Linked DNA regions of Struthio camelus. The protein of the gene in region 3 purifies or fractionates together with the protein of the main gene of each other region. This does not show direct contact. Links are inferred from orthologs where the notes say so. Each region holds a gene or a part of one and is shown on either strand. Other genes may lie near its edges. The genes, in order: GHITM, LRP6, POMK and TMEM59.

Region 1 (7,271 bases), on a different chromosome or scaffold from region 3:
ACTTAGAGCACAAAGGCCATAAACAAGTGGAAGGCTCATGATCATTCACAACAGAGATTACCTGCAAAGTGATTCTTTTGGGGAAAAAAAAAAAGCCATTTGACCCTTTAATACATGAGCAATAAGAAACATTAGAAAAATTACCTCACCTGGCTAGGCTGCCACAGCCTGTATGCTTTTATATTGGTGTTCCTCAAAGCTGGCGAAGCCTGAATAATGGCAGGGCGGACAGCCTGGCATGGTAACGTCCTCAGGCATACTAGCCTTGCAGCCAGCATGGTTGCTTAAACGGTTAAGACACAATATTCCTGCAAGTGCACAAGGAAAACATACTTTACTATTTGGTTACTCGGTTTTCAGACAAAACGTTACACCTAGTCCTCATGCTTGACTAGGCTGCCCTACATAATAGAAACAGTACTAATACTGAAGTATTGTAACTTAAGAACACTCTAGCTCTTTTAATATACAATTTCACTCTGTTCTATCTATATTTGTCTCCCAGTTCAGTCAGAGACTTATCTCCCACATCAAGGTTCTTCCTTTAAAAAACAGAAGGACAATACAACTTCTCATACATATGGGTTACATCAAGACCCGTTATGCGCTCATAAAGGGCATCCAGTTACAGGCTCGAGTTACTTTGGCAACTAATTCCATTTTGAGAAACAACACTGCATCAACTTTCTGCCCTCCAAAGAGCAAGAAGTGTTCCAAATTTACACAGCCATCAGCTAACTATACAGTCAAATGAGCCCACAGCATAATATACGTGGCAGACAGTTTCAGAAAAAAAGTTTTTAAATCCTATCTTTGAAGGATTAGCCAGTATTATGGACAGTGCATTTAGTCAAGGTCACAAACCTGAGCGGATTCCCTAGGACAGGCAAAGATCAGCCTGAATATACTATAGGTGCTATTAAAATTGCCAACTCTCCTCTATAAACACTGCATATGTCACTTGTAAAAGAAACAAAATCCTCCTAGTTTCACATACTTTATATCTACATATAATCTCTTTTTCCAAAAGACACCCCAACTATCAGTATACTTATTCTAACAACCGTTTATAATTTATATAGTGTCAGATATAATTTAAGAGTACAATGAACAAAGATAACTTCGAACATGAATGAAAAGCGAGGACCCACAGCATTAGACACTGCAGATCAACTGCAGAGAAGTGAAAAATGAAACAAAATAGTTTTGCCACTACAAAAAGCCACGCTTCTTTGAAGCTTAGTTACGAAATCCTATTTATGCAAGACAAGTATTTTCAGAGACACATCCTAGTTGTTCTACTAAACCCCAACACCACACTCAGGAAATACTTTTCAGAACTTAGTGACTGCTCTTGTGATTTTTTGTTTTTTAGAAGCTAATTTTTCCAAACGTTACATTAACAGGAAAAATGGGTAACTGCACAAGATTAAAAACATAAAACACTATCAACATTTCAGCATTCCTACTGGGAAATGCAGCAGCAAGAAAAATACTGTGAAGTTACTGCCGCACCATACCATAAGGAAACCAGTTCTACTCCAGGGAGACCTACCAGAACTGTACCTTGAGGGAACAAGGTCAACCCTATTCACTATGTCAGCCAAAATGCCTGCGTACATTCCTCCCCCCCTCCTCTGCAGCCACCTTCCAATTCATACCTCTGTTATCTCTAAAATTACTACAGCAAACCACAACGAGTTAGGCCTCACTATCGCTGCCGTGCACAAAACACTCCCAGACGGCCTTCACAAAGGCAGACACGGCAGCAAGAGGCACGCGAGGGGCAAAACCTCGGCCCCTGAAGCGGCCTTTATTTCCCTTGATTTCCCCAGGTCACACTCTGCCCTGCTCGACCGCCCGTGCCGCGCGGCCCAGCCGAGGCGACGGCGGCGCACAGCAGGCCAGGCCAGGCCCGGCCCGGCCCCCTCCGCCGAAGCAGCCGCGGCCCTCAACAAGCGTTCCCCCGCCCGCCCCGCGGAGACAGCCCGGCACCGATGAAGAGCCGCCGGCCGGCCGGCCGGCCGCCCCCCTCCCCGCACCGCCGCGCACCCGCCGCTCAGCCCCACCGAACCAGCTCCGCCGCCGATCCCCCAGGCCGGAACGATGCCTCGGTAGCGGAAGTCACGTGTGGCGCCTGCCGGAACCTCCGGTGACTGGCTCGCTGGTCCCACGTGACCCTCGAGCACGCAAGCGCCATTGGCTCGAGGCGGCCGGGCGAAGCGTCACCCGCAGCCGTCAGGGAAGGCGCAGGAACCATCTTTAATACGGCCAGAGAAACTTCTGGAAGTCATCTTCGATAGGGCTCTGCAGTATTTGCGGTCTGGTTTCTGGTCGCGCAAACAACAACTGAGGCCCTGTGCTCTGCGAGCCTGACTCGGAGGGCTTTCAGCGGCGCTTGCCGCCCTGAGCGAGGAGGCAGAGGCCAGCCGCCGCTATCTCGACAGACGGCAGCGCTCGCTAGCCGCCATTTTACGCGCGGCGGCTGAGCGCCGGCGCCGCCATTTTGAGTGGGGGCAGGGAGGCGCTGGGGGCGGGCTGGGGGCCTACCCGGGCGCGCCACGCCGGCGAGGCAGGCGCGGGCGGGTCTGCTCCTGGGTCCTGGTTTGCTTCCCCTCGTGGGCTACGTTCAGCCCCTGCCGTGCGTGTCCGGAGGATGCTCAGCACGCGTGTCTCGCCCTCTTCACCGCACCGGTACGGAGCGGGGTCCCGTGCGTTGTGCGCGCTCCGGTTTGTAAAGGAGTTGCTGCCTTTTTCCAGCAGGTGGCATGCGCTCTGTGAAAATAAATGAGAGCAAAGCTTTAAAAGTTAACTTTACCTTCGAGGAGTGTCATAATCCGAGTTGTTCTGTGCGCTTTTGCCCTCCATTTTGTCAGCGAGCAGCTCGGTGTGCTGACGCGGGCGTTAAAATGGCAGGGAGCGGAGGCTGCCCGACTGCTGCGGCGTGCCAAGGAGGGCCGAGGGGACCCGAGCCGCTGCTGGTGCCCGCGGTGCTCCCCTGGGGCTCGGCCTGCCCGCGGCTGCTCTCCCCTTGCCGCTGGCTGCGTGTGAGCTAACGCCCTGCTCTTCTCAGGGCGTCAGAAAGCTCAAGACCTTTCCATTTGCTTCCCTTTACACCTGAGTGATTTACTCAGAGCTGGGAGGTATTTCGTCCTTTTTAACCCTTTCTTCTTGGGGTTATACCTGTTGGCGTGGAGGTATTACCTGCTTTGGGGTGGGAGCGCCCGGGGTGCAGATGCCAGATAAGTACAAAATACGGTGCTGTACGCGCAGCTCAGAGGGAGGTGTGACTCCAGCAGGACCAACCCTAGCCCTCACCCTGCCCGGGCCGGGCCTCGCGCAGGGCTCCCAGCCCTGCCAGAGCCTCACCGTTCCCCGGGGAGAAACCTTTCGCCACCATTGATTTTCTGCCGGCAGCTTCTTTCCCGCCTCGCTCCAGCTGGGGCTCTGGGCTTCTTTTCTGTTATTAACATTAACCCTAAGCTGAGCCGTAGACAAGGCACAGCAGCGTTTCTCTAGACTGTTGACTTCCTCAGGGGGTTTCTTCTTTGCAGCCCTCATTTTCCTGCGGCAGCTCTTTTCCAGCCCTGCTCCAACTGTAGCTCTGGCTTTTTCTTTCCACCAGCCCTAACGCTAAGCCCAAGCCCAGGCCAAGCCAAAGGCCAGGGACACTGCTCAGTCCGGAGACTCAGTGTTGCTTGTGAGCAGAACTCTTTTCACAGCTCTCTTTCTCCTTGGTCGGCTCTTCTCCAGCCCTGTTCCAGCTGCGCTTCTGGCTTTCAGTGCGGACCCTAACCCTAGTCTGAGCCACGAGCCAGGGACTGACTGTTCAGAAACGCAGTAGTCTTCAGAGGAGAATTGTTTTGGCAGCCCTAAGTTTGCTTTGGCAGCCCTTTTCCAGCCCCGCTCCAGCTACAGCTCTGTAGCTTCTTTCAGCCTTAACGCTACATATGGGCATGGTTCTTCAGAGCCAAGTGAAACAGACTGAGAGCGCCTTGAGGCCAAGATCAAAGGCAAATATAACAGAAAAGGTGTGGAAAAAAGAATGAAGTACAGAAATAGAGAAAACCTGTTAAGGATCATGAAATTAGCCTCCCTATACCTTGGAGTTTCCTTTTATAAACTAAGAAATAGACTATACTGACCTGCTAGTTTGCAAAATGAAAGTCAGATAAGAGAGATCAGATGTGGAAGAGGTCTAGAAATGCAATAGCACATGCAATCTTGAAGAAGAATTTGAATGAAGAGACTGAAGCAGAAGAATGTACTATATCAGGGAGGAAATTCCATAAGAGGGGGCCAAATCCAATGGGATTCAAGGTCTGAGCCTTATTTTCTCTGAAGCTTATTTACTTTCCTTTGTAGTAAATGAAAATCCAGGGCTTTGAAGTCTGTAGCCCCTAGGTCTTCTACAATTGCAAAAAAAATTTGCCAGTTTCAGGCCATAAATAGGTTGTTTATTTAGAGGCTTACAGTGTTTATTTTAGAGTTTGTAACACTCTATAATTGTTATGTACTAAAGGATTCATTATAATAATTAGTATTTAAATTTATAATTCAGTTATTAATAGTAATAATTTATGCAAGGAATCAAACTTATCTCTCTCGCTACAGCATCATAATCATGTAAAAAAATCTCCTGGGACTTTCAAATAAGATCATCAATCCAGCTCTGTGCCAAATTGTTTCTGTAATAAATAGTTTTGCCAGAAGCTACCAAATCCACAAAGGGCCCATAGTGCAGCAAATTCAGCAGTTGAGACTTTTTCATATAAATTCTTCTGCTAGCAGATACTCCTCTTCTGCTAGATGGTCAACAAATTTAAATGCCAGCTAAAGCACTGATTGTTAACAAGTGGAAAAACAGTGGCCTGTTATGTAAGCAAGTCCCAATCCATCTAAGAGCTTTTGAGTTAAAACCAGCAGGTTGGAGCCTATCTGTTGGTGCCACCGTAAAATTATTGTTTTTCTCAGACAGGAAGGCAATAGCTTCAGTCACCACGCAGCCTCATGTTACTGCAGAGCTTCAAAGCAGCTGGCTGGGCTTTTGCAGTAGTTCAAGCTCATGCTGTCAAAAGCATGGATAACAGCGTGATAGCAAGGCTCATTGGTGAGATGGCAGCCAAATGCACACATAAAAATTTGCTGCTTAACTCCGATGCACTGTTCCTTTATGGCATTGTGTTCAAATGCACTGTGCATCCAGCACCTGGATCAGGGACCAGGACTGATCAGCATCTTCATTAATGTCCTAGATGATGGGCAGAGTGCACCTTTAGAAGGTTTGCAGATGATACAAGACTGGTGGTTGTGCTGCCATTCAGAGGGACCTTGACAGGCTGGAGAAATGGGCTAACAGGAATTTCAAGAAGTTCAACAAAGAGAAATGCAAGGTCCTGCACCTGGGGAGGGACAACCCCAGGCACTGCAGGCTGGGGCTGACCAGCTGGAAAGCAGCTTTCCCAGAAAAGGGCCCTGTGATCATGGAGGATACTGAGTTGAACGTGGGCCAGCAATCCACATTGCCTTGTGGCAAAGAAGGCCAACGGCATCCAGAGCTGCATTAGGAACAGTGTTGCCAGCAGATCAAGGGAAGTGACGGACAGACGTGGAGCTACTGGAGCGAGTCCAACGAAAGGCCGCTAAGATGATTAAGGGACTCGAGCATCTCTCAGAAGAGGAAAGGCTGAGAGAGCTGGGACTGTTCAGCCTGGAGAAGAGAAGGCTCAGGGGGATCTTACTTGTGTGTATCTGATGGGAAGGAGTAAAGGAGACAGAGGCAGACTCTTCTCAGTGGTGGCCAGTGACGGGACAAGAGGCAATGAGTACAAATTGAAATACAAGAAATTCCATTTAACCATAAGAAAAAGATTTTTTACTGTGAGGGTGATCGAACACTGGAAGAGGTTGCCCAGAAAGGTAGTGGAGTCTCCATCTTCGGAGATATTCAAAACCTGATGGCATGGTGCTGGGCAAGCTGCTCTTGCTGGCCCTGCTTTGACCAGGGGGCCTGGACCCCAGAGGATCTCCAGAGGTGCCTGCCAACCTCAACCATTCTGTGACTCTATGCAATGTCAACATAAAGATGATTCCTGAAGGACCCTCTTTTTTGAGGGGGGCTGATATGCACCAATAAGAATTGCTTGGAAAACAGTAAACATTTTCCTCAGGCAGTATGTATGGAAATGATGACATTTCTGAAGAAACAAAACTCTTCAAAAAATAAAAATCGCAAAGATACTTTGAAAGCGGTGGAACATTTCTTCGGAAATCAAAAGGATAAACAGGGATACTCAGTGATACACAGCTTCCTATAATTTCAACAGACCATGTTTTCACTTGCAAAACGTTTTGTATTTGCTGGAAATTTTGTAATTATCTAGGCAGGATCTAACACAGTTAATGTGCAATTATATATTTTGCAGCAGCAGGAAGCACCACTGAGAAGGAAGTCGAGTGTCCCTGAAGCCCACCATCCCAATGCATGGCAGCTGGGAGGCAGCAGGGCAGACCCCAAACCCTGCCGCTCGGCAGGGCAGGAGCCGGGGGAGGAGGGCGAGAGCGGCGGTTCATCAAACTCTGCTGCTGCCATGGCATAGGGGGGGGAGTTCCCCAGCTGCCGTGTCCCAGGGAGGCTGGACTAAATGCCAGCAGCCCTGAAGGGACCGGTCCGAGCCCCTGCTCAGTCCCCCCTCAGGTCTCCTGCGAGAAACATCACGTATTTCCAAGCAGTGTAATCAGTCTGTTCACACTGATAACTGGTTCGTTAAGGGGTTTCGTTGTCTTGACAGAGAAGTGCAGACGGCCAGTAGTGCAGTCCTCTTCCAGGAAACACCGTGTAACGTATTTTCAGCTGTGCGCTCTGCCTTGCCAGTCACCCTAAACAGGACCGTGACAAATCCTTATGTTTAGCCCAGTGCAATCCGGGAAAGCAGTATGAGCCACAACAAGCCCCTAATTGTGTTAATAAATAGGGTCGCTGTGAATTTTGAAGTTTAACCTTATAATTCTGCAGCTCTGACATCCTCTTGCAGAAAGAGACAACCTCATCAACTGTTCACATGGCTGTGTTCATCAGCAGAAAATAAATGAGTCTGGAGGTAGCAGAATTTCTCCTTAGGGTGAACTTTGCCATTGAAGTTTTTCAAATTAGAGCTGAAGAAAAATGTTTTGAATGCTTTTTGGCTGTGTTGACTGTAGCGTTTCAGATCGCTGTCCCAACATGTTACAGGGGATTTTCAAACTTAATCTGTAGCTCCTGTTTTTGTTAC
Region 2 (7,884 bases), on a different chromosome or scaffold from region 3:
TTAAAAAGAGTGAAATCTCAGTTTCCCCACTTACAAAGTTTTAGAACTGATCCGATGCTACAGCTTTTGCCTCTTTGCAGTTGTCAATTACCTAACAAGATCCTGACTGGATTCACAGCTGCAATGAAGAGCACAGCAAACTTGCCACGAAGCAGGTCAAGCTCAGTCCTCCAAGCCTTGCTTGGAGCTGCTCCCTGAACACTGCTCACGTTCAGAGAGGAGGAAAGCTCAATCCCCAACATCAGACCAGGAGCCAAGAGAGGAGTAAGAGGAGTAGAGATGTCAGACTGTGATGATGGTCTGGCAGTTTCAGAGAAGTGACCCCTTTCTTCCATCAAAGAGAATATGAAAGAAATTACAAAGCCTCCATAGCAGGCTGTAGTGATGTTAACCTCCTGGCCCTTACAAATCAAAATATCTGCCCTGAAAACAGCTACAGAATCTGGCTCATCACAGTCCTTGGACTACTTTGGTAGAGAGGTGTCTTGTACTGTGCACCTGTCTCTAGCTAGCAACTGCCTGGTACTTCTCCAAAGCTATAAGCTCACAGGACACTGCACTTCCAGGTTATCAATTTCAATCCTTTCCACACTGGTAAACGTATCTATCATCATTTCCTTTCCCTAGCGATCGTAGCTATCGTAAACCTCTGCCCATTTGCTTTTTCTAAGTCAGCGGCAAAAGGGAGGCTACTTCTCTAAGCGGAGAGGATTCTGCAATCCACAAATACATGCTATTAGATTTTCTGGGTTTCAGTCTCCAATACTTTGGCTTGGCACCTTTCACAGCACTAAATTTACAAACCAAACAGTGACCTTCAGAACTGCTACTTTCATGTATATACTTATTCATACTCACGCTGGCACTGCCTCTGCCTCATTAAGGAACTGCTGACACCTCTTATGAGCCAAACATATCTTATTCAAACCAATTCTACTTGCAGAGATGTTGTTTGTTAGGGAGGATGCATGCATTAAAATTTGATTTCTGTTTCTTCTGAGTTCAGCTGTTCCTGCTGTTTATATCTACCTAAGGTAACAACTAGCCAGTAGGAAAATTAATATCTTGTTACAAATAGAAGATGGAGACTTCAGGTAGGTGATCAAGCAGCAGGAGCACATGAACTCTGAAGAAACAAAGACACAATTTTGATACAAAAGTCCTTGGCAATCGACAAAGATGAGAGAAGGGGGAAAAAAAGAGACAGTCCAAACAGTTTACTGTGTTTTTTCAAAGTTCCTTATTAAGCATCATCAAGTAAATGAACATTCGCAAAAGGACATGTAATTATTTGGATATTAATTTGAAGAAGTGACAATAAGTGATTACTATTGTGTGACATTACGTATGACAGTGATTTTTTTGAGCTGTCATTCAAACTAGGTTAAACAGCAAGTTAGAGCCAGATAAATGTTTCATTAAGAACAGGTACGGCCGTTACATAACAAAATGAACCAATTGGAAAACAGTTCTTCTCTATGCTTCATATCCAACTGAACTTTTTGAAAATTGGATTTCACTGCTGCAAGAGGACCACAAAATGTTACATAGCCTATTTAAATAAATATACTTGTATCTTTGCAAACAGGATACAATATGGCAAACAGATGCACAGAAAAAAAAGGTAGGAGGAAGAAGAAATTTTTCCTTTTCTAGAGTACTAAGTAACTGGCTACCAAGCATCTCCTTCAACCCAAACCACCTTCACTCCAGCTTTCAAAACAAAATGATGGTGGCAATAGACTAATTTTCTAAATCAAAGTGTGGCTGATTTCTTTAAATATCAGCAATTAATCTTCTCTCCCATGTAGTATGAAAAAAATACAAACAAATAACAAAACGATGGATGCAAACATCACAGCTGCTTTCTCCCCAGGAAAAGCAAACACAGAGAAATGGATGTTGCCGTGAAGTATATGTGAAGTCATGTTGAGAGATGGGAAGGGGTATAAAAATTATATCAAGTATTTTAAGTGATATCCGTTTGTAGCGCACTGGAATGCTTATTTAAGGCTATATTAGCATTCATCACAACCCACCACAGAAACACAAACTTCTCTCAAGTCCCAAAACAGCCCCAGCAGAGCGGAGAGGAGCATTACTCCTCCTGCCAACTGCATACTGCACTTACTTCGGGTGTGTGGAAAATGTCAGTGAAATACTAGTTTTAACAGACTTTCGCCTTCTCTCGCTGAGTGTGTAGGGCTCCCCACTTCTCCTCCCGCGGGGGAGGGGGGGGGGGGAGAAAAAAAAAAGAAAAATAGAAAACGCTTTCTTTCGCGGATAGGGGGGAGGAGAGGAGAGGAACGTGATGACTGTAATAGCAATACTGGCGTGACGTTTTGGTGGTCGCCTCACCGGGGCTGCTCCGCTGTCCATCCGCAGCGGACAGACAGGCGAGGCGCGACCAGCTCGGGGTGCGGTGGGGTGGGGGGGCAAACTTAAACAAAAAAACCCACCAACAACAATAACCACCACCACTACCGTGCGCTGCCTGCCGAGCGCCCAGAGGGCTGCCCGCGAGGTGACCGCGGCGGGGGCACGGCAGGGCCGGGCAGGGCAGGCCGGGGGGGCGGCGGGGCGGGGAGCCCGACCCGACCCGGCCACCGGGGCCTTCCCTGACTGGATTCACACAACATGGCCCCTCGCAACAACCCCGTCAACTTTTCCTGCCCGCCCCTTCCCCCCCCCCCCCCCCGCTGCCCCGCTCACCTCTCATCAGGGAACAAAAACTGCAGGCGAGTAGGCTGCGCAGGACGGCCCCCATCTTCCCTCGCTCCCCTCTCACCGGCGGCGGCGGCGGGGAGGCGGCGGCGGCGGAGCAGGGGGAGGAGAGGAGCAGCCCCGCCGCTGCCAGTTCATACTTTCGGGCAGGCGGCGGGGAGGAGGAGGAGGAGAAGGAGGAGGAGGAGAAGGTGGAAAAGGAGAGGAGCAGAGAAGGGCAACCGCGCAAATCGCCCTTCGCCGCCGCCTAGCAGGCCGCCTCCCCCGCCGCGCCGCCACGGCAGCGGCCGCTTCCCTCCACGCCGGCCCGGCCCGGCCCGGCCCGGCCCGGCCGCCGCCGCCTCACTGCCAACGCCGCCGCCGCCGCTCCCCCATGCAGCCCCGCCGCTCGCCCCGGCCCGGCCCGGCCCCGCCCCCGCCCGCCGCGCACAGGCGCAGGGATACCGGCCTCCCCCACGCCGCCCAACGGCCGCCCCACGGCCGCCCCGCCCCCGCTCGCGCGCCTCCCCCGGCGCTGCCCCCGGCCGCCGCTGCGCAGTCCCCCCGCACTATTTCCTTTCCCTCCGCCGCTGCTTTTTGCCTTTTTCTTCTTTTTTTTTTTTTTTTTTTTGGGGGGGGGCGGGGGGGAGGAAGGTGCGATACGGCGCTCGGAACAACATCAGCCCTGGGAGGGACGGGACTACTTTCAGGCGCGGAGCGGCGGCAGGACAAAGGGTCCCTCCGCGGCCCTGCGGCTCCTCCTCCGCCTCCAGGTGAAGGCGGGCATCGCCGGGCTGGCCGGCCCAGAGCCCCGGCCGCGTCCTCCGAGGTCGGGCCGCGGGCCCGCTGCGGCGCCTGCCGGGTGAGGTTGTGGAGCCGGGCCTGCGCGCTGCCCCTGGGCAGCGAGCCGGGCCGGGCCGGGCCGGGCCGTACCTGGCCGCTCCCCCGGCCCAAATGGCGACGCAGCCCCCGCGGCGGCGCTGTCGGCCTGCGCGGTGCCCGGCCGCGTCCCTGAGCTTCCCGCCGGCCTGCTCGTGCTCGGCTTCGGGAGGCAGGGGCACCCGGCACCGGGCCGAGCCGCTTCATAGTACAGTAGCAGGCGGAGAAAGGGAAGAAGAAGGAAAAAAAAAAAGACCAAGCGCTCCTGGCGAAATGCAGTTACAATGCATGCCCCCTTGTGTGGGGACTGATAACCTTGATCTGGCCCAGGGCAGCGCTGAGATGCATTCCTTTATCAATAGGACCTTGCTGCTTGATTGATGTCGTGGCATGTGATTTATTTCGCGGCACTTTTAGGGGGATTCTGGTTTCCCCCCCCCTCCCCTTACTAAACTAAATGGCACAAACTACTACTCTGAGCAGTAGTTAGAAACAGCAAATGAATGCCAAAGAGTAGCTAATGTGCCGTGCTTAGGCATAACTTGCTCTTTTCACAAGCTATATCCGCTTAAACAGCCTTTTTCCTGGAAAAAAAGTTTGTGATCTTCTAACATGCCCTTGCTTTAAAACGCTTCCCTCCTTACCTAGTCTGTTCTTTTTTCCTAAGCACTACAAAATCCAACTTTCTTGTGTTTTCTCCAGTTTACAAACTCTACATGAGGACTTCTACAGGGACTGTTGATGTACGTGCCACTTTCTCTCTCACAGAATACGAGAGCTGTTCACTAGCGGAAAGCTATGAAGCAGAACAACTTGAAGCAAAATTTGAAATCCTTACATTCGAAAGCCTGTATTATTTTAGAGTTATTAGAAACTTATGGAAACATTTAACTTTTAATTTCATATCTGTTGAACATACTTTTTCATAGCTTTTCTTATGATTACAGTAGGAGATAACATCTGGGTCACATTAAAGGTCTGGGCACTGCAGATTGACTCTAGCATCAGGCTGTAGCTCCTGGAGTCGTGATAATACCAGACTCTGAACTTTTACTGGAAAAGAATAACAGTTAAAACCATCTACAAAAAGAAATACATTTCCAGCCTTCAAGGTTGCAAAAAAGATCTTGAAACTGTAAACAATGCAACTCAAGAGCAATACCTGCCTGAGGCCAGGTCTGCCTTACAAAATGTTGTCCTTGACTCTGCTGGGTGAAGTATCCTCCTGCGTTACGACAATGTCAGCTGGGAGCATGAGCAAACTCCAACGAGAGCTGCATAGATGGTTGAGGGTAAAGGCTTCCCACACAAAAATGTACCCAGACAGTAGATAACCCTCATCTTACCCTTGTCACAACTAGATGTTGCAGAAACAGGCAGAGGGAGTACAGTGTTCTGCTTGCTCTGTTTAATTGGAATCAGATAAAAAAAGAGGGTTGGGTGATTTTTTTTAGCTTACGCTATACAGTCATAACGTTCCTCATGCAACATATTTCTCTACATGCTATTCCCACTAGCATCTTATCTATTTTTGCTGGAAGCACTCTGGTGTCTTGACTATCTCCCTTGGGAGCCTGATTCCCCGCCTGTTTGCTGTCACTGCTAAAGACATCTTCCCTGCTGTCCAAGCTGACTGGTTTTATTTTTAGTGTTCATATGCTCCCACCCCTCCCATATATGCATTTCACCATTTTGCTGTAATTCAAGCCCTTTCCTTTCCTGATAGTCATTTAATGATAGTCCATTCTTCTAAGTTATTTAATGATTTTTGGCTTCCCCTACCTCAGCCTATCCCCTATTTCCCACAGCCTTTGTAGGGTCAAATCCTTCTACCTCTACTCAAGTGTAGGTAGCCTTTTTTGAACCCGTTTTCCCATCTATATTTAGGATTCAAGATCAAGCCGATATACTACAGTTTGTCAGCTTTACTTGTAATTCATTCATAGAATAAACTCCATTGCAGAGGTTTTTACAAAGTAAAATAGGAGGCAAGATTACCTGCTTCAGAAAGGCCCCTGACAGATAAGATTTCTCAAATATTTATTATGTTCCATTATTTGAGCTTGAAATCAGAATAAAGCAAGTGGGAGTGGAGAGGGATTGTCTGTTTTATTTTAGAAAGAGTCTCCTCTTGTTGATTACTATTATTTTTGTTTCTCTTAAAAACAGAAATCACCATTTGCCTGTTCAAATTCAGTCAGAGGCTTCAACAGCTAGGAAATCTGCACAGGTGTCCTTTACCTCAAGACTTAGCTACTAAAGCCTTTGAATCACCATCTAAGTAATCTGCTACACAGGCATACCCTTACCTCCAGCCTCAGAGAGTGATTCAATGATACAAGAGCTTTTGCAGGGGTGTTTTATACTCAGATTAGTTCCTTGGCCAGGTTCCTAGTGCAGCCTGACAAGCAGTTGTGTCAGCACACAGGACAGCAAGGAGTAGCAGATGGAGCTCCTTCAACCAGCAGCGACTGCCCAAGTCACCACATCTTTGAGCTATGCCCCGAGTTCCAGTGAAGGCAATGGGACTTTGTAGGACCAGGACTGAAGTCCCTAATGAGCAAAAGCTGTTGGTAGAAGATGGCTACTCAGCAAACGAATTTGGGCTGACCACATCACAGAAACCACTATCATAATTAGCTCCCTCACTGAATGTCTCGATGAGAATTAATGGGCCATGGCATGGTGAAATCCTGGTTCCCCTGAAGTCCATGGCAAAACTCTCACCAACTTCAAAAGGGCCAAGATTTCATACTGAAACTCAAGCTCAAGTCCTCTCTTGCCCCCAGTAGGAAAGTCTGGAGCACTATATTTTAGGGAATGGGACATGGCACAGTGATGACTTCACCAGTGATTTCTGCGTTACAACCGTTTAGCAGATAAATGGGAGACCCTAACTTCCAGCATCATTACCATGCCACTTTGCCTAGGTCGTACAGTTGCAATTTATAAACAAAAATCCTTCATCCAACACTTCCCCCAAAGGAGGTCAGCTCTAAGTAACTTAAGCATCATTTAATGCTAAAGGTGCTTGACAAGGATTATCCTGCTCCAAGAGTGCAATGGGCTCACCAGTGTCCTCCCTTTAAGGAACAGATTATCAGTTTATTTACTCCTTATTGAAGTTCAATCATAAGCAGAGGCATTTTGTCCCCCACTTTTACTGTCATACTATATGAAACATACTTTTTCAACAGGAGATAGGCAGCTTACCAACATGTTTCCTTGGCCTAATAGTCATTGCTGTATTCCAGAAGTTTTCTCCAGGCCCTGAGACCTCATTTGTCTTTGCAGTTATTTGCAGGGGTTCTCCAGAGCCTGTCAGTGCACAGCAAACACTATCACTCCCACTACTTCTGTGGTAATTTTCCCGTCAAATATCCTATGAAGTCCCCTTGTACCACATATAGTTGCCTCCTCTCCTTGTTCTTCATTACTATCTTATTTTTCCCCTGTGTAAGTATAATATCCATTCTTTTTTTCTCATCTTCTCTACCAGAAGATGTTGCCTGGTGCTCAGGGTGAGAACTGTGCATTTCTTAAAATGGCTAAAAAATTCCTTACAACAAAAACTTCACAGAGGAGAAGCTGCTTGAGCCTAGCAGACTGTACAGGCAAGCTATTCCAACAGGAGTCCGGTGATATCCCCAAAGGGAAATGGGAAATAGATGACCTCAAAGGCTTGAGCATTTTCTTTACACCTTTGGGGGAATTTTTGGACTGATGCTGATGGTGAATCCAAGGCCAGGCCATTTACCTTCTACTTCTTTTCTCCTCTTCCATCTCCTAGTGAGTTGAAAACAGCACTGCCTCTTAGCTGTAGCATTTTCAGTGTGAACTGTGCAGGATTCTGATTTTAATTTGGCACTGCCCACCAGACCACAGGGCAAACCCAATACTTGCCTTATGAATATTTAGCCATGGCTACATTTCAAAGCTGAATTATAAAAATGTCATTTGAGAAAGTTACAGTTCCAAAATTTGTAAAGTACTTTAATGCTGGGCTGATGCAGCTAAAATATCCTTTTAAAAGAGATCGCATTTCAGGCTGACAGGAACCAAAACACTTTTTTGTTTTAGTTTGCTAAAATTTTCAAAAATGAGCAGCATCTGGGCTCTATTAACCATAACGTGCGTGCATTTTAAGCAACAACAATTTAAAAATACTTCCTTTTCATAACCTTTTCATGGAGTTCAGCATTTTGCAATGCACTTCCATAATATTTACCAGTTCTGATTTGCACTCTAGCCTTTGAAGCTTAAAAATTAGTTACTGGTGAAGCATCGTGTATCTCTTCACAC
Region 3 (7,462 bases):
AGAAGCACTATATAGTGCTTCTCCTACTAGCCGATGGTCCAGACACCGTGCTGATGCAAAATGGAACAGCTTCCTGGCCTTCAGCTGAGCCACAGCTCTTTGCACCAACTGCAGTCCTAACCATATCTAGATACTGCTATTGAATAACTGTCTCAGCTGTACTTTACCATTCCAGCTCTCATGTTTGAAGAACCAGTATTTTCCTCCTCCATAGTTAACAAACACCATAATTATAAGAGAGAGCCTATAAAGACAACAAACACACACAGAAAGTACCACATGTCAATGAAATACATATGTATGAGCGCAGAGTTCATGCTTACCCTATTAAAACATTTCTAACTGTAAATCTGGTTTATTTTACTTTTAAAACAAGATTATGTACAAGGCTTCCAGCTTTGCTTCCCGGGAGGCAGCATTTCAAAGATCAGAGGTACTGGTGAACCAAAGTAAGCTCCTTCACATAGCATGTTCACACTGAGAAAGAGGTTGTTCCTTCCCACCTTCCACTGCAACTTTAATGCTTCCTCAGATGAGCTCAACTTCAAAGTGTTTCAGAAAATCCAGGAATTAAAACCCTGATTATCTTCCTAGTAAAACAGACACCCCCCACCCCGAACTCTTCATCTTCTACATAAACCTATACATTGTCAAACCACCTTTGGAAAATCTGATTCCCCTTGGAAATGCAGCTCTTGGGGAAAGTCTCTGCTCACCCTCGGAATGTGTCCAGGGAACGTAGCCGCTGCTGAGAGATGGCACTCCACAAATGCTGTGAGGGATCGCTGCTAAGGGAGTCCACTCCATTTGGGGACCCGAGCTCCTTAGGGAACAAACCAGACACATGAAGGGGAAGTGAGTAGCTGCACCAACTGCCTAGGGAACAGATGACAGCAAACTAAGGCTTAGGTTCCTGCAAACTTTCAAACACAACTTACTGTGTTTGTGTCTGTTCTCCCCATCTTCTCTTCCTTTTGCTTCCCCACTTGCTATTTTTCACCCCTTCATGGCTCAACCACGTTGCAATCAACTTTCATGTCAGAAAAATGCAGATGTTTCACACTCCCCCTTTGACCACAGTGGAAACAATAGTCCAGTGTAAAGAGCCTCTCCTGAACGCTCAGGAGAGCTGGGCTCAATCTAAATCAGCCACAGACTTGCTGTTACTTCGATTGCTGCTTTACAACAGAGCTGAGCAAATCCAGCTGCTGACTCTGATGAAAAGGATCAGTCCCATCCCATCCCATCAGCACTTGTCTGACAGCACAGAGAGACTGATTACAAAGCTAAACTGGCAGGAAAAAAGAAGAAACTCCGTTTAAAAACAGGAGTGGCTTCTTCCTTGTCTAGTTCCCTAAATCGCTCCAATCAGCTCCAGTGACAGTATAAAGAAGGGGACACTGCTGCAAAATAGCTACAAACAGCTACAAAAATCACTGAGGAGCTCTGCTCGCAGCCCTTTCAATTCCAGTCAGGTTCTGACCTCCTAAACGTGAAGCCCAGATGGCGATGACCTTGCTATCTTCCTGTAGAAAACATGGCACATACACAGAAATGCCAGCTCTAGGGCTGCTAGAGAAATCCTGCCTCAAGTGCAGATCCCGTAAGACTCCTATTGTGCTGCAAGCAGACACGAAAGCTGGCATTACTTCCCTTCTCTTACGCTGCTTGTGTCAGAACGGGACAATATTTTCAGTGAGATGTTTCCTTCAGTGGAACTAAACAGGGCAGAAAGCTGGATGTTCAAGACTTGCAAGAGTTCTGCTGGGAATCCATTAAACTTGCATGGAAACCCAGTCTAGTGCTCTCCATTGACAAAAAATTGGCTGTCTGACCTCAGTGAAGATTTGCCAAGGGGAACACTTGCCAAGGGGAGCAAGACCAGTAATTAATGAGCTCCAAAACGCCACGGTGGTGTGACTCACCGTGAGGTGGAAACATTACAGACTGCAAATTAAGGATACTGTGGCCACTCACGGAATTAATCAGACGATCAGTTTCTCTCGGATTCAGTTTCTTGTAAACCCAATTCCTGACTGGATGAATTCTGAAAATTAGTAACAGTTAAAAAAAGTACCTCATAACCAATTTCATCTTAATATCAACTATTTAGCAGTATAAATCAAAAGCTGAGACAGCCCCTATTTCTGTTTTCCCAGGTCACACACACTATGCAGTACCTGCAGCCCCAGTTAAGTCCAGTTCTGTTACTACACTGCCCTACACTACAGGCTCAGGTTTGGGGGCTTTATTCTTGGGTTGTTTATAGGCAGGGACAACTCATCTCATCCAGCACACAGGATGGAAGACTGCATACGTTAAATATGCTTGAAGTCTCACTGACTTCTATTGCTGATTCAGGGCTAGGCCCATGAAGAAGTCAAGGAAGGGTGAGGCAGGGTGGTGAGCTTACAGTGGATGTCAGCTGCTCTGCAGCAAATGCTCTATGCACAAGCTTACGCGGCTGTAAAATATTCCTCAATAGAAATTTCATCACTCGGCTTTTATTCTCACACGGACAGCTACCACAGCTTAACTTGTGCATAGCAGCCTGGTAATGGGAGAGGACCTGCCAGCAGGGCTCCAGCGGGACTCCGAAGCACTACCACGCTACAAGAAGAGCTTTTAAACCAGCCGCCCCATTTCACGTGTACCCATTTCAGGCGTTACAATACTGCTCACTTACTTCATGAAAAGGCGTCCAACAATCACGATAGCAAGGATCCCCATGTAAACCAGGAACGCAAACAGAATAGCTACATGATAGAGAGAAGACGACAACTCTGTACCTGATTTAACAAAGCCGTTCAGCAGCCTGGGTCTGGCCGCATGAGATATGAACACAACAACCAACCCAACCCACCATTCGTCACACCACCTCCTCCGCACAATACATAGCCACAGCCTGAGTCCCACAGAAAAGAAAAGAAAACAAAAATAGGCTAGTTTTGAAGTGCAGCTCAGTGACTGCAGAGCTCAGCATTAGCAAAGCAAAATAAACTGCACTGCACCACAAGGCAATGGTGAAGAAAGAGCCGATGACGAAGAAACGCGAGAGATTTAGAAATGGCCTCAGTGCAAAGAGGAGAGGTAATACGCCAAGCTAGCAAGCATGGAGGATATTTCTTTACAGTCAGAGAATTGGAAGGATTGGAGAATAAGCTAATAAAAAGAATGGAAAAGATGTTGATCATCGTTTCAAACAGCCCTGGAAAACAGACAAACAAAAAAAGCAAGACAACAGGTTTAAAACTAAAAAAAAAAATCCAAACACTGCACAAATTGTTTCCATTTTGTGGGAGAAGCAAGACAAGAGAGAAGAAGCGGGAGGGTCCTGTGTACATATATATACATGCAGGGAAACAGGAGCTAGCTACTAAAATGTCTCCTTCCAGACACATATCCACTGATGTTTCTGGACTAATCCCTGCTCCAAAGAGGCTGCGCTCTCCAGTATCTCCTGTGAGAGGCCTGATCCTGGTCAGAGCCTCACTATGAAGGGTGTGAAACATAAGGAGGTAACAAGCTGCGAGAGAAGAGAAGCAGGCCCACGACACATCTTCAGCACAGCACAACTGGCTGCAGGGGCTTTTAGGAAGCCAGTTTTGCCGGGAGACACGCAAATTGTCGAATGAAAGGGGAAAATAGAGCATTACATACGGAGGTAGCTGTTGATAGGGCCTTCGTTGATGATTAGGTCACAAGAAACGGTTTGGGTGCTTCTACTTAGGGTCTTTACCTCGAGGGAGTAATTGCCAAATTCTCCAAAATGATAATGAATCCTGCAAAGGATAAAGGAAATGAAACTTGCTGAGCACATCACTGCTACGCGCAGGTACCACAGCAGCATTTGGGGACTCGAAGCCTGAACGCTTGTAGGAAAAGCACGCTGAAAACTCGGCCTAAGGGAGTGACGTAGCAAGGAGCTACCTGGTCCCACCTTTGCCAAGGTCACCCTCCCCAAGCCGAGCACGCATGCGGTTTGCCCGCAAGCCCTCCTATATCACCTGTCTGCTTGAACTGCAGCTTCTGTGCAAGAGAAACTAGGCACAGGTGGACGCGCATGCTGGCACAACATGTACCGTGTTGGCTCCTGCTTGCGCCTAGAACCTTTCGGCACAATTATAACATGAGCCGTAGTTAGAGCAGTGTGAGGAAGACTGACTTCTGGGCCTAAACAGTCAGGAAAAAGGGGGTGATGAGCAGGCAGTAATTCCTAGGTGCATAGCGGGAGGAAAAAAAAACAAAACAAAAACCAAAACCAACCAAATATAGCAGGCAGCTATCCTAGCGTTACCCAGGGATGAGCCACGTACGTGCAGAGCTCTCTGTCTCCTGAAAAGCCATCGAGCAGCAGGGTGAGCGGATGCTGGGTGTCCACGGCCACCGTCACCGTGCTCGGTTTTCTCAGGCTCTCGTTCCTTGCCGGGATGAAGGCCAGAAACTGATAGGAGCACTAGGAAAGAAGAGAGCCAAGTTGAGGGCCCGGAAAACGCAGCGGGAGCCGACAGCACCACCCACGGCGGGCTGCTCTCTGGTGATTTAAAAGGAAAAGAGGATCCTGCTGAGCGACCCATGGAAACAGTAAAAAGCGAAGACTTCCGCAGGTGGGAGCGGGTAGCCCGGCACCGTAAAGCCGAAGTGGGGAAAGGCGGCGATTCCACCGGGAAGGGGATATAAGCGCCGAAGCGGCGGGGCAGAGCCGGGCGGCGCCGGCGCTCACCTGGTGGCAGGCGGCGGAGGCGGCCGAGAGCCGCAGGCCCTGGCCGGGCAGCGCGTTGCGGACGAGCAGCAGCGCCTGGTCCATGCGGCCCCGCGGCGGCCCCGCGGGGGGCGCGGCGGCCCGCGGACCCTCGCCGGGCGCCTGCGGCGGGCCCGGCGCCAGCAGCGCGCCGCCCAGCGCCGCCGCCACCACCACCGCCGCCGCCGCCGCCGCCGCCATGGCGCCGCGCTCCGCCCCTGCCTGCAGGGGCCGGGCCGGGCCTGGCCGAGGCGGCGGCGGCGGCGGCACCGCTCCGGGAAGTACGCTCACCCTCCCGCCCACCCCTCCCCCTCCCCTCCCCTCCACCCTTCGTGATTTTCCCTCGCAACGCCCGGCCGCGGCGCCTCCTTCCTGCCGGCTCCCCTCCTCCTTCTGCAGCGCCGAGGGCCCCTGTGCAAAGAGCCCTGCGCGCGGCGTGAGCGCCGTGTTGGGAAACCACAGCCAGATGTTGAGGCAGCTGCCAAACTCCCAGCTGCTTTTCACATCCGCTCTGGGCACCGGGTCGTGGAGTTTCTCGTAGATCAGGCTCTCCGCTCGAGGTTATGGTGTCTGCAAGGCAATGGTATAGCCTGCAATGGAAAAGCCCCGCAGACATCCATCCCTGGGCATCTCCTGCCCAGAAAGACTTCTCCTGCTAACTCTTGCCTGTGTCTTTTACAGAGAATGTAGAAGGCAGTGCCATGGAAAAGAAATCGCACTTCATTAAAAGAGAGTTTCTGCAAAGGGAGGTACCTTTGGTCTTGCTGGGGCTGCTGCTTGTGACCGTCCTGCTCCTTAATGGCCTTCTCTATCTGTACCTCAACAATTTTTACGGCTCTTCTGGACGTGCTGATACGGACCCCAGCCTCTGCCCTTTTGGGTACTTCAAATTAGGAACGGCGAAAAATTGCTCCCCATGGCTGTCCTGTGAAGCCATAAATAAGGAAGTAAGGAAACTCAAATGTGTTGGTGAAGGAGCTGTGAAAAAGGTGAGTTTGGTTTTCCTTTCTTTCCCCACCCCGTGGAAAAACTCGTAAGCATAACAGCTTGCAATATTAGCTGGCTGATTAATGTCTATACTGCTGTTAAGATCCCCACAGCAGCTAGTTGCTGTAGACATCCAGAGGACTATGGCTACTGGTAAGCTATGCCAAAGAGGTAGGACAGCGGGTCCTGGGGCCAATTTCTACCTCGCTTGCACCCAATGGCATCCAGCTACGCCAGCAAAATCACGGGGCTGGGTGAAGTGCTTGTGGGGCGTGATGCAATCATGACAGATAAAGACTGGCTGATACAAACTGGGTGGGATGAAATCCTTTGATCATTTAATCCATCTGTAGTGCCCATTCCAAAGAAAAACTGAAGAAATTGTGATCTACTGCATGCTGTAATTACAACATCTGTAAGCCCAGGTATGTGGGGCCTACCTAAAGGCTTCATGCTGTCGTAATGCTGTCATGTGTTAACACAGGACTGTGCCCAGTAACTGTAATTGGAGAAGGCTCCACATGTCTTAGGCGTCTCTTGCATGTTCTCAGGTCTTTCTTTCTGAGTGGAAGGAAAACAAAGTGGTCCTTTCACAGCTCACCAACTCAGAGCTGCAGGAGGACTTTCTCCACGGACTGAAGATGCTGAAAGCACTACAAAGCAAGCACGTTGTCCGCCTGCTTGGCTACTGTGAGAAGCAGTTCACAATACTCACCGAGTACCATCCTCTAGGCTCCCTGAGGGGCCTGAATGAAACTCTGCACACGCCTAAGTACAAGGGCTTGAACACCTGGCATCGCAGGTTCACGCTTGCTATAGACTACGTGAGCATCATTCGTTTCCTGCACAGCAGTCCCTTGGGCACCTTAGTGATGTGTGACTCTAATGACCTGGACAAGGTGCTCTCTCAGTATCTCCTCACAAGTGACTTTCGCATCCTGGTGAATGATTTGGATGCTTTGCCGCTTGTGAACAGGAGTGCTGGCGTCCTGGTGAAGTGCGGTCATCGGGAGCTCCAGGGTGAGTTTGTAGCGCCTGAGCAGCGTTGGCCCCACGGAGAAGAGGTGCCATTTGATGATGATCTCATGCCCCCCTATGATGAGAAAACAGACATATGGAAAATCCCCGATGTCTCCAATTTTTTCTTGGGCCATGTAGAAGGGAGTGACATTGTGCGACTGCATTTGTTTGACATCCATGCAGCGTGTAAGAAGAAGGACCCAGCTGAAAGGCCTTCTGCCCAAGAGGTCTTAGACACCTACAGGAAAGTTTTGACTCTGCTTATTCGGGAGGCTGCCATGCCTGGTACCAGGGAAATGTTGTAGAGAATCATGGGACGAACATTGGACTGAAGTTGGTGTCCTTCCTATTTATTTAGCTTGCCTGAAGACTATAATGGAGCAAGCTCTCTATCCCCCAAACTGAAAAGATAAGAACCACCAAACCTGTACTTTTGTCTTTTGACTAAAAAAAAATTCCACCCAATGTTGGGAGCTGTGTGAGTTTCCCATTAACATGTTTTATCTATCATTGGAAGAGGGGGGGGAAGAAGAGAAATGAAGTTGCGTGGATGTGGTGGGTTTTCTGGGTTTTCCTCAAAACCCAGGAAACTATATTTTTAAAAAAAGTCCATTTTTACCAGGAAAGAATTTGAAAGCAAAAAGAAATGTTGACCCACTTGAAATGACTGTCAGAGGCCTGGAGAGCGGAGACTGACCCAAGCCCCACTGAGAG
Region 4 (7,998 bases), on a different chromosome or scaffold from region 3:
AAGGAGTACTGAATTCTTACCAGAGTCACATTCCAGTTTGGTCCGATTCAAATCAATGCCATCATCCACAAACTGACAAATGGAAAACAGTCTGCAGCCTCGCTGGCACGCATACAGTTCCTCTTCCTGGGAAGGCACAAGAAGAGACTTGCATTCCTCCATCCAAAAATAACATGTCAAGAAACAAAGACTCCCCCCCTCCCCTCGCTTTTTTTTTTTTCTCCCCCCCCCTCCTCGGAAGAGCTATAGAAAGTGATCCACTTGAGCATCACCCTATCACCTTCCTCCCCTACACTAGACCCAGAAGACAGCTAAACATGACAGTCTGGATGATATGAAACCAAACCAAATTATAGCTCTGTAACACTGTAATATAACTATTGATTTCTTTATTTCAAATAGAACTCCTTATTCTGCAGTGGGGCAGACTGAACAGCAAATACTGTTGTGTACATTCCAGCCTCCTACAACTCAGAGTAAACTTACACTGCGTTTCTGAAAAAGTGACGGTTTAAAAAATAAGAGATACTGGCTGTAAAAACCTTTCCTGACATACTCCAATAGCCTTCATTTAGTCATACAAGAAGTTGACACTCCTCCCCCTCAAAAGTTTAATATCAGAACCCAACAGGTGAGGAGCAAAACAAAGACATATTTTGACAACACATCACAATATAGTTACTGTACACTAATTAGAACTATGACAGTTGTCAAAGTAGAAGGTTATCTTCTATACCAGTACCCCGGTTAACCGGTTACTTGCCAAACTAGTTCCATAAACATGTATTTTTATTTATTATATCAAACTGAAGGGGAAAGTAATCCCTTATGGTAACTATAAAAAACATTGAGATTATGCCAGTACAGAAAAACTATACCCAGTATTTCCTCTATCCACCATATCAAAGGCAGGGACGCGCACTTCCCACACATGGTGCTCCTCACGCTGCAGAACTAATGACTGCCTGCTTTATGTGAGCACTCTTATTAGCGATCACTCAGCAAAATCAAATCCATCAAATCCATTACCTACGTAACCACTCAAATGATTGCAGCCAGTTGCTTCACACACGGAAAAAAACTCTGAATTCATAGAAGAGAAGACAAACATACCACACCTTACTGTGCAATCCACTGTAAATGAACTGGCCATTGTGCTTCTCTGAAAGCACAAGTTCGCATGCTTTTTAATTTACAAAAGTAGAAAATGGAACATAGATTCAAACTTAGCCATGTTATCAGTGTTGTTAGAGTTAAGATAGTTATGTTGTTCCAGAAAACGTTATGTACATTGATATCCACACTGAATTAACTTTAGCAGACATGTTTCTATTGCACTCTTGCACACAGGTCTCAATGTTTGTCTTGCTTTTCAATGGCAATTAAAACAATTTCCTCCAATTTAACCGGTAGCTTTGTGACAAACGGAACAAAGACTAAATGAAATGGAAGAGATGGCTGTATCATTCGACAGCTCCAACAGCACAACAGAAAGAGTTTGAAAAGTACTGCAAAAAAAAAAAAATCACAGTAATAATCAGTTTTTCTTGAACTTGAAAGGGTCCTATAACAAAAACAAGAAAATTACTCTAAAATAACATGGAAATATTTTAGGATAACGTTTAGTCCTAAATAAATTCTCAGGTTTTGTTCTTTCTCCTCACTGTCACTGTACATAGGCACCAAAACACATCATATGTGCAGATCCAAATTTACTGTTATTCCACACAACTCCCTGTTATTTCCCTCTGTGGAAATACCAGTATCAGCTACCAAGTCACAAAACCCAATTCAGAGTTTCATATGAAAACAAAGACCTATTACCTGATACTAGTGCTACCATCTTTTTGCCGTATTACCGCCTGCTGCCTTCACGTGAAACCTCAAAGGTGGTATAAAAGTTCCCATAACCTAGGATTCAACCTGCTCAATAGCTGCAATAGATAAAAAGATATTTTGCCAAGAAAGAACCACGAAAAATGAGATTTTGAAACGGGTAATGGATTTTCCAAATTCAAACCAGCAGCTCAGAACTGTACAAAGCTTTGAACTGACAGTGAACTCTGGAGTGGGAAATTATATTGCCCTTCGAGGCTATTTCTCCAGGCTCTTTTTCATAAGAGGGAAAATTCCCTGGGCAAGTGAATCCAAAATACAGGGTCTGTCAAGCTACTCATCTGCCATTTTTTATGCTCCATCCTCCAAAACTCAAGTGTTGCACTGATGTCCTGGCTCAGGATCCTTAGCCTGTCTTGGACACTGTCCTGTTTTAGTGCTCTAAGACATAGGGCAGCCTAAGTCAAATGAGGAGTCACCTCTTTAGGAATAGGACGGGAAAAAAAAAAAAGAAGAAGAAAAAGCAAGGACCCCAAACCCACAAGTTAACCAAACTGTTCTTTGAAAGAGGTATTTCAGACCCTGCGGCATCTCTTCGGCTCGCAGCGCGCTAAGCACGTATTTCCGAGGAGAAACACGTATCATCCGGGAAAGCCACAGCATCCCCTGCTTCGAGGGGTCGAGCACCTCAGCCGGACGGCACAGACACCCCAAAACCAAGCAGCACGCCGACCGGAGCCGAGCACGCCCGCACCGCGGGCTGCCCCCACGCTCGCCTCCCAAAAAGGGCTCTGCCCGCCGCCAGGGCCCCTCCGGCTGAGGCGGAAACAAAACGGCTGCTTCCTGCCCGTCCCCGGCCGGAGACGAGGGGCCCTGCGGGGGGGGGGGGGGCGGGCAGGGCCGCGGCGGGGCCCGCCCCTACCTTGGGGTAGGTGTGCAGGGAGTAGGTCAGCTGGCAGGCGCGGTGACACGACGCCGTGTTACCCAGCACCGAGTCGAAAGCCTCGGAGGAGCCCGGGGGTGGTGGGGGTGGTGGTGGCAGCGGCGGCCCAGCCGCCCGGGCCCGCCCAACGGCCAGGAGCACCACGGCGAGAGGCAGGTAGAGCAGGCCGCCGCGCCGCGCCGCCATCTTCCTCCTCCTCCTCCTCCCGCAGCGCCCCGGCTGGGCGGGGCGGGGGCGCCGCTGACGTCTCGCGAGACTACCCCCCCTCCCGCGCCTCGGCGGCGCGGCGCCTGCTGGGAAACGTAGTCCTCGCCGCCGGGCGGGGCCAGGCACGCCGAGGGGCCGCGCCGGCGGCGGGAACTACCCGGCGGAAAGGGGCGGGGCGGCTGGGGGCATGGAGCGGTTCGTGGTGCGCGGGGCCCGCGTCGCCGGCCGCCCCCGCGGGGCCGCCCCCGCCGCGGCCTACCGGCAGGTCACCCTCGAGTCCCTCAAGGCAGGTGACCGGGCCTCGGTGGGGGGGGGGACGCGGGAGAGCGGCTTTGGGGCGGGCGGCCAGGCCGAGGCCTTGTGCGCGGGGCGGGGGGGGGGGGGAAATCACCTCAGGAGGAGCGAGGCTGGCAGTGAGGGCCCGGGGGGGGGGGGGGCTTTTGGGTGAACAACCTGAGACCGGTGTCCCTTAGCGCCTGGGAAACCCGCCACGGGGGGTGTGGGGGGGTGGTGTTTTGGGCGGGGGGGGGGGGTTGGTTGCAGCACCCCTGCCCGCCCGCCGCTCCGGGCCCAGGTAGGTTCAGCTCCTTCCCGCCACCTCTGCGGCGTTGGCGCGGCGGCCTCGCAGGGAGCGGCCTGCTGGACTCCCGAAACGGAGACGGGGTAGGCCTTGGCGCCCTCCGGCCTGCTCGCGCGGGGCAGGGGCGGCTGGCACCTGTGGCAGCCGCAGAGTTGTTTTGCGGCTTGCCTCTCTCTCCGGCCAGGACGTTGAGTACCCCGGAGAGGCCTGCTGTTGGGTGCACAGTGGTCCTGCCTTACGTAGGACCTGGGCCCCGCTTTGCTGCCTCTTTGCAGAAACAGCACACACACACACACAATTGCCTGTTGTTCGTGTAAGGCACAAAGCAAGAGGATAGAGCACAGAGCGCATCAGCTGTCTGACCATCGCTGAACCGTTGTAAGAGGCCTGACATCTGGAATGCAATGAGACTGGCGTCGTTTCGCAGTCCCTTCTAGCGAGTCCTGCTATAAACAGTTCAAATGAAAAACACTGTGCAAACAGCCGGTGTACTTGAGATTGTGATGCTGCTCCTGATGCTTCATTTCTCTCTCTGCTGACATAATTTTGACTTTAAAACCAATCTGAACAAGATTCAGATTCTGCCAGGCTGCTAAGGATGATATAATTAGCTGCCTTCCTATCTTCTTATCCCCTTTTCTATTATGAAGCATTTATACAACAGACTCCTTAAATTCAGAACACCTCTCTTGTAGCAAACATTTGCTGTTAAGTGCCCTGAGCTTGGCAGAATAAGATTAAGCATATTACTTTGCCTTCAACTTACTTCTATCTTGATTTGCAGTAGGGTGCTAATATCGAGCAAATACCCATCATTCCAGACTGCCATGCATTCTGTGCTCTGGTTCACGTCATAATCAATAATTCCTGTGTCGATAACAGTCCCAGTAGCTGAAATGAAGTCAATGTCTTTATTTGTAGTAGGAATATTCCACTTTCCTAATGGTTTTTCTTTTTTCCAGAGAGTTGTGGTTGTGGAAGACATAAAACGATGGAAATCTATGCTTGAGCTTCCAGGGCAACCGAAAGAGAATCTGATTGAAGCTTTGGAGGAGCTGAAAAAGAAAATACCTTCCAAGGAAGTGTTACTTTCAACAAAAATAGGTATGTCCTGTTGCTTGATCTAGAGTGTGACTATTAGACTGTCTTGCATCCTTTGCTGCTCAGATTGCCAGGGACTAGCTCACAGGCCTTTTTTAAGAAAAGAGTGTCACAGTCGTCTCAAAAGGTTTACCTGGTCTCTGTACAAAAAATTCTTGGTACGCAGCCTGCAGTTTTCATAACTCATACTGAAAAAAGTCAGCACTCCTTTAATTCTTCCCTGTACATGAAGGTTGCCTGCTTACTACTAAATATTGCATCACTCCTCCCGTGGCAGCATTTTGGAAGAGATTTTCACAGGCACGTCTGTGTGTTGTTCCTTCTGCTGCCATCTGCTGGGGGCATGGCAGAGTGCTCCCTTGCGGTCTGAGACAGGGCCTATGCATCAGACCTGGCTGAGTCCTCCAAACGTGCAAGAATTCTCCTCGTAACGCCCCGGAAGTGCTTAGTGCATTCTCACAAGGAGAAATCCTCAACTGATAGGCAGCTCCATGCAACTAACACAGCCCTATGCTTGACCGTGTGGGGACTTGGGGGGAGGAATAATGTGAGACCGCATGGACCCTGCCTTTCCTGTCTGTGAAGATCATATATGACACAGAGTATCTGAAGTACCCCAAAGCGAGAGAAAGTCATTTTGACCTTTGTTTGCCATTAGAGCAGCTGGATCTCTATTCAAAGAGCCCTCCTTGCCTTGGAAAAGGAGACAGGATCTGCCTCTTTCTTCTTCCTTCTGGATTGTCATTTAGTTTGCCATTTTTAGCTCGTTCAGCCTTTTCCTGAGATTTTTCCCAGTGCTTCCCTGAGCACTGCTGGGCTGTAAGAAAGCCACAGAAGACCAACAGTGACATCTTCTGGCCAGTAGTGTTAACACCAGTCAGACACTACTGCTAGCGTGACAGGTAGGTCAGAAAAATGCCCAGTTGGAAAAGGATCTCTTCTTTCTCCTCTCAAAGGAAAGTCTCTTTGCACTGGCAGGCCCCAGTGTAGTACCTGGGGTGTCGGCATGCTGAACGAATTACTCATGTCAACTGGAAAGATTCTGCTTGGAGGCACCATGATGTTCTCATGTTAAAACATTATAAACATCACAGTGATAAACCTCACTGCCACATCTGCTTCTTTAAGGGGTTTTTTAGTTAATAAAAAAAAAAAAAAAGTGTTTCTTGTAGACCAGTCTTACAAGATTACTCAATTGCTTGGTAATTGCTCAGGCAAAAGTCACAGAATGGTGGAGGTCGGAAGACACCTCTGGAGATCATCTAGTCCAACCTGCCTGCTCAAGCAGGGTCAGCTAGAGCAGGTTACCCGGGACCGTGTTCCACTGGGGTTTGAATATTTCAAGGATGGAGGCTCCATAACCTCTCTGGACAACCTGCTCTGGTGCTCAGTCACCCCCAAAGTTATTCAGAGGGAACTTCCTGTGTTTGTGCCTGCTGCCTCTTGTCCTGTCACTGGGCACCACTGGAAAGAGTCTGGCTCAGTCTTCTTTATGCCCTCCCTTCGGATATTTATACACATTGATAAGATCCCCCCTCAGTCTTCTCTTCTTCAGGCTAAACAGTTCCAACTCTCTCAGTCTCTCCTCATGACAGATGCTCCAGCCCCATAATCATCTTTGTGGCCTTTTGCTGCACTCCCTCTAATAGCTCCATATTTCTCCTGTACTGTGGAGCCCAGAACTGGACACAGTGCTCCAGACATGGCCTCACCAGTGCCCTGCAGGAATCACTGCAGAGGTCAATGAATAAAAACTTCAGGGTCTGCTCCTAGTGATTTCATGTTTATATTTATGCCTGTGCGTTGGTTATTGTGCTGTCACTGTCTGAATTACAAACTTGTGTGACTGCTTTAGCTCCACTGTAACATCACTCTTGTCCATTATATTTTGCCCACCTACCAAAGCTGAATGAGCTGTTGCTGTTTTCCAGGTCACACAGTGAATAAGATGCGCAAACATTCAGATCACGATGTGGCCAGCCTTGCAAAGGATGTTTACACAGAGTGGCGAACTTTCATCAAAGACCATTCAAACAAACCCTCAATAGAAGTCAGGAGTGATCCCAAGACTGAGGTTTTCAGAAAGAACGCGCGGAAGATGCTTTGCAAAGCCTTGGATCTAGAGGTAGTGTTCAGGTCCATTCATCTTCGTCTCAAAGAGTAACTTCCTGTAAGAACAAGTTAGACAAACCCTTTCCAGACATAGTTACTAAAAAGCTGATCCTGCCTGCAGGATGAGGACAAGGCTAATGACCTGTTCCTGTTTGCTTTGATTCTCAGCATGTCTGTATTTATAAGGAGCTTTGTTTTCAAGGGAGATTTTTTTGTTCTTGACCAAGTGAACGTGTTTGTTTTAAGTGAGGTGTGTATTGCTCTCATTTACATAACTAGCAAATGGGACAGTTGCGTATCTACTGCAGCTAGGCTGCATAGGAGAAGAAGGAAGTTAGAACGCACAGTTTTCCCTGCTACTTATTAGCTGCAAAAGCAACACTGGGACCTTTTGGATGTTTTGTATTTAAGTAATTAAGCATGAGCAAATTGAAATCTATTGCAAAAACATAGAGTTGACATAGGCTGACAGTATATAAAGTGGTGCTAAATACCAGATCCCTCTGGTATCTCTACATAAGCAAACAGGATTTACTGAAAGGCTTAATGATCAGTTTGCTTGCTCTATGAAACTCTGTAATAATTATCATTTAGTTTATTCGTTAATTATCCTCTGAATGGCAAGTCAAGAGGTAGGCGCTCAAGAGTTTCAGAGCAAAGTTAAAAAGCTATGTGTTGTCAGCCATGAAAACAGCCTCTCCAACTTGTAGTTCATCTGGACCGAGGCAGAGCAAAAGGATGGGTTGCTGCGGGAAGGTCTCAGAATGGAGATTTTATGGAGAGCTTACCTTTCCCAGGCTGCTAGTCAAATCAGGTTTCTGGGAAACGTGTCTATGCATAGTGATAATGCTGGTGGTAAAGTGTAAACCTATGGGAGACGAGGATAGATATGGTACTATCCTAAAACAAGTGGTATTAGGGAGGGCGGGACCAGGCAGAATCACTTCTGAACAGAACTCACCTGAAAGTGTGGTAAAGAATACTCCTCTGGCTTGCAGCTACCATCATATGTGCAAATAGAGTTTACATCAGCAGGATGAATAGCATATATAAGCAGGGGAGCCACAGAGGCCCAGCAAATGCAAAGCAGGGATACCTGAGAAAGGGCTGATAGAAGGAGGAAGGGAGAATGGGGCTGAATGGACACAAAGGGGCTTCTAGCGCAGCCCAACAGAGGGGCAAATTAAGCGAGGGGTAGCAAAAAGAGAATAAAAGAGGG

What was found.
Region 1: the proteins of POMK (region 3) and GHITM purify together in Homo sapiens (affinity purification with mass spectrometry; 3 studies listed by BioGRID and IntAct, counting the BioPlex papers as one, with this or other methods). This does not show direct contact. The link is inferred for Struthio camelus from reciprocal best matches to the Homo sapiens genes POMK and GHITM.
Region 2: the proteins of POMK (region 3) and LRP6 purify together in Homo sapiens (affinity purification with mass spectrometry; 3 studies listed by BioGRID and IntAct, counting the BioPlex papers as one, with this or other methods). This does not show direct contact. The link is inferred for Struthio camelus from reciprocal best matches to the Homo sapiens genes POMK and LRP6.
Region 4: the proteins of POMK (region 3) and TMEM59 purify together in Homo sapiens (affinity purification with mass spectrometry; 3 studies listed by BioGRID and IntAct, with this or other methods). This does not show direct contact. The link is inferred for Struthio camelus from reciprocal best matches to the Homo sapiens genes POMK and TMEM59.

The regions. Positions count from the first base shown.
Region 1 is NC_090948.1:32,766,703-32,773,973, reverse strand, and holds the start of GHITM (growth hormone-inducible transmembrane protein), read right to left. Parts: upstream 3,003-7,271; 5' UTR 2,070-3,002; exon of another isoform or gene 2,053-2,069; intron 309-2,052; 5' UTR 279-308; coding exon 150-278; intron 1-149. UniProt on the Homo sapiens protein: Plays an important role in maintenance of mitochondrial morphology and in mediating either calcium or potassium/proton antiport. Mediates proton-dependent calcium efflux from mitochondrion.
Region 2 is NC_090942.1:81,182,851-81,190,734, forward strand, and holds the start of LRP6 (low-density lipoprotein receptor-related protein 6), read right to left. Parts: upstream 3,014-7,884; 5' UTR 2,768-3,013; coding exon 2,713-2,767; intron 1-2,712. UniProt on the Homo sapiens protein: Component of the Wnt-Fzd-LRP5-LRP6 complex that triggers beta-catenin signaling through inducing aggregation of receptor-ligand complexes into ribosome-sized signalosomes.
Region 3 is NC_090945.1:5,509,347-5,516,808, reverse strand, and holds the start of POMK (protein O-mannose kinase), read left to right. Parts: upstream 1-4,456; 5' UTR 4,457-4,607; intron 4,608-4,723; coding exon of another isoform or gene 4,724-4,942; intron 4,943-4,967; exon of another isoform or gene 4,968-5,324; intron 5,325-5,422; 5' UTR 5,423-5,442; coding exon 5,443-5,730; intron 5,731-6,279; coding exon 6,280-7,053; 3' UTR 7,054-7,462. Other genes in the region: HGSNAT (heparan-alpha-glucosaminide N-acetyltransferase), read right to left, coding at 168-244, 717-823, 1,978-2,047, 2,687-2,756, 3,661-3,782, 4,317-4,456, 4,724-4,942. UniProt on the Homo sapiens protein: Protein O-mannose kinase that specifically mediates phosphorylation at the 6-position of an O-mannose of the trisaccharide (N-acetylgalactosamine (GalNAc)-beta-1,3-N-acetylglucosamine (GlcNAc)-beta-1,4-mannose) to generate phosphorylated O-mannosyl trisaccharide (N-acetylgalactosamine-beta-1,3-N-acetylglucosamine-beta-1,4-(phosphate-6-)mannose).
Region 4 is NC_090949.1:32,523,780-32,531,777, forward strand, and holds the start of TMEM59 (transmembrane protein 59), read right to left. Parts: upstream 3,007-7,998; 5' UTR 2,966-3,006; coding exon 2,759-2,965; intron 127-2,758; coding exon 21-126; intron 1-20. Other genes in the region: TCEANC2 (transcription elongation factor A N-terminal and central domain-containing protein 2), read left to right, coding at 3,174-3,272, 4,529-4,670, 6,599-6,792.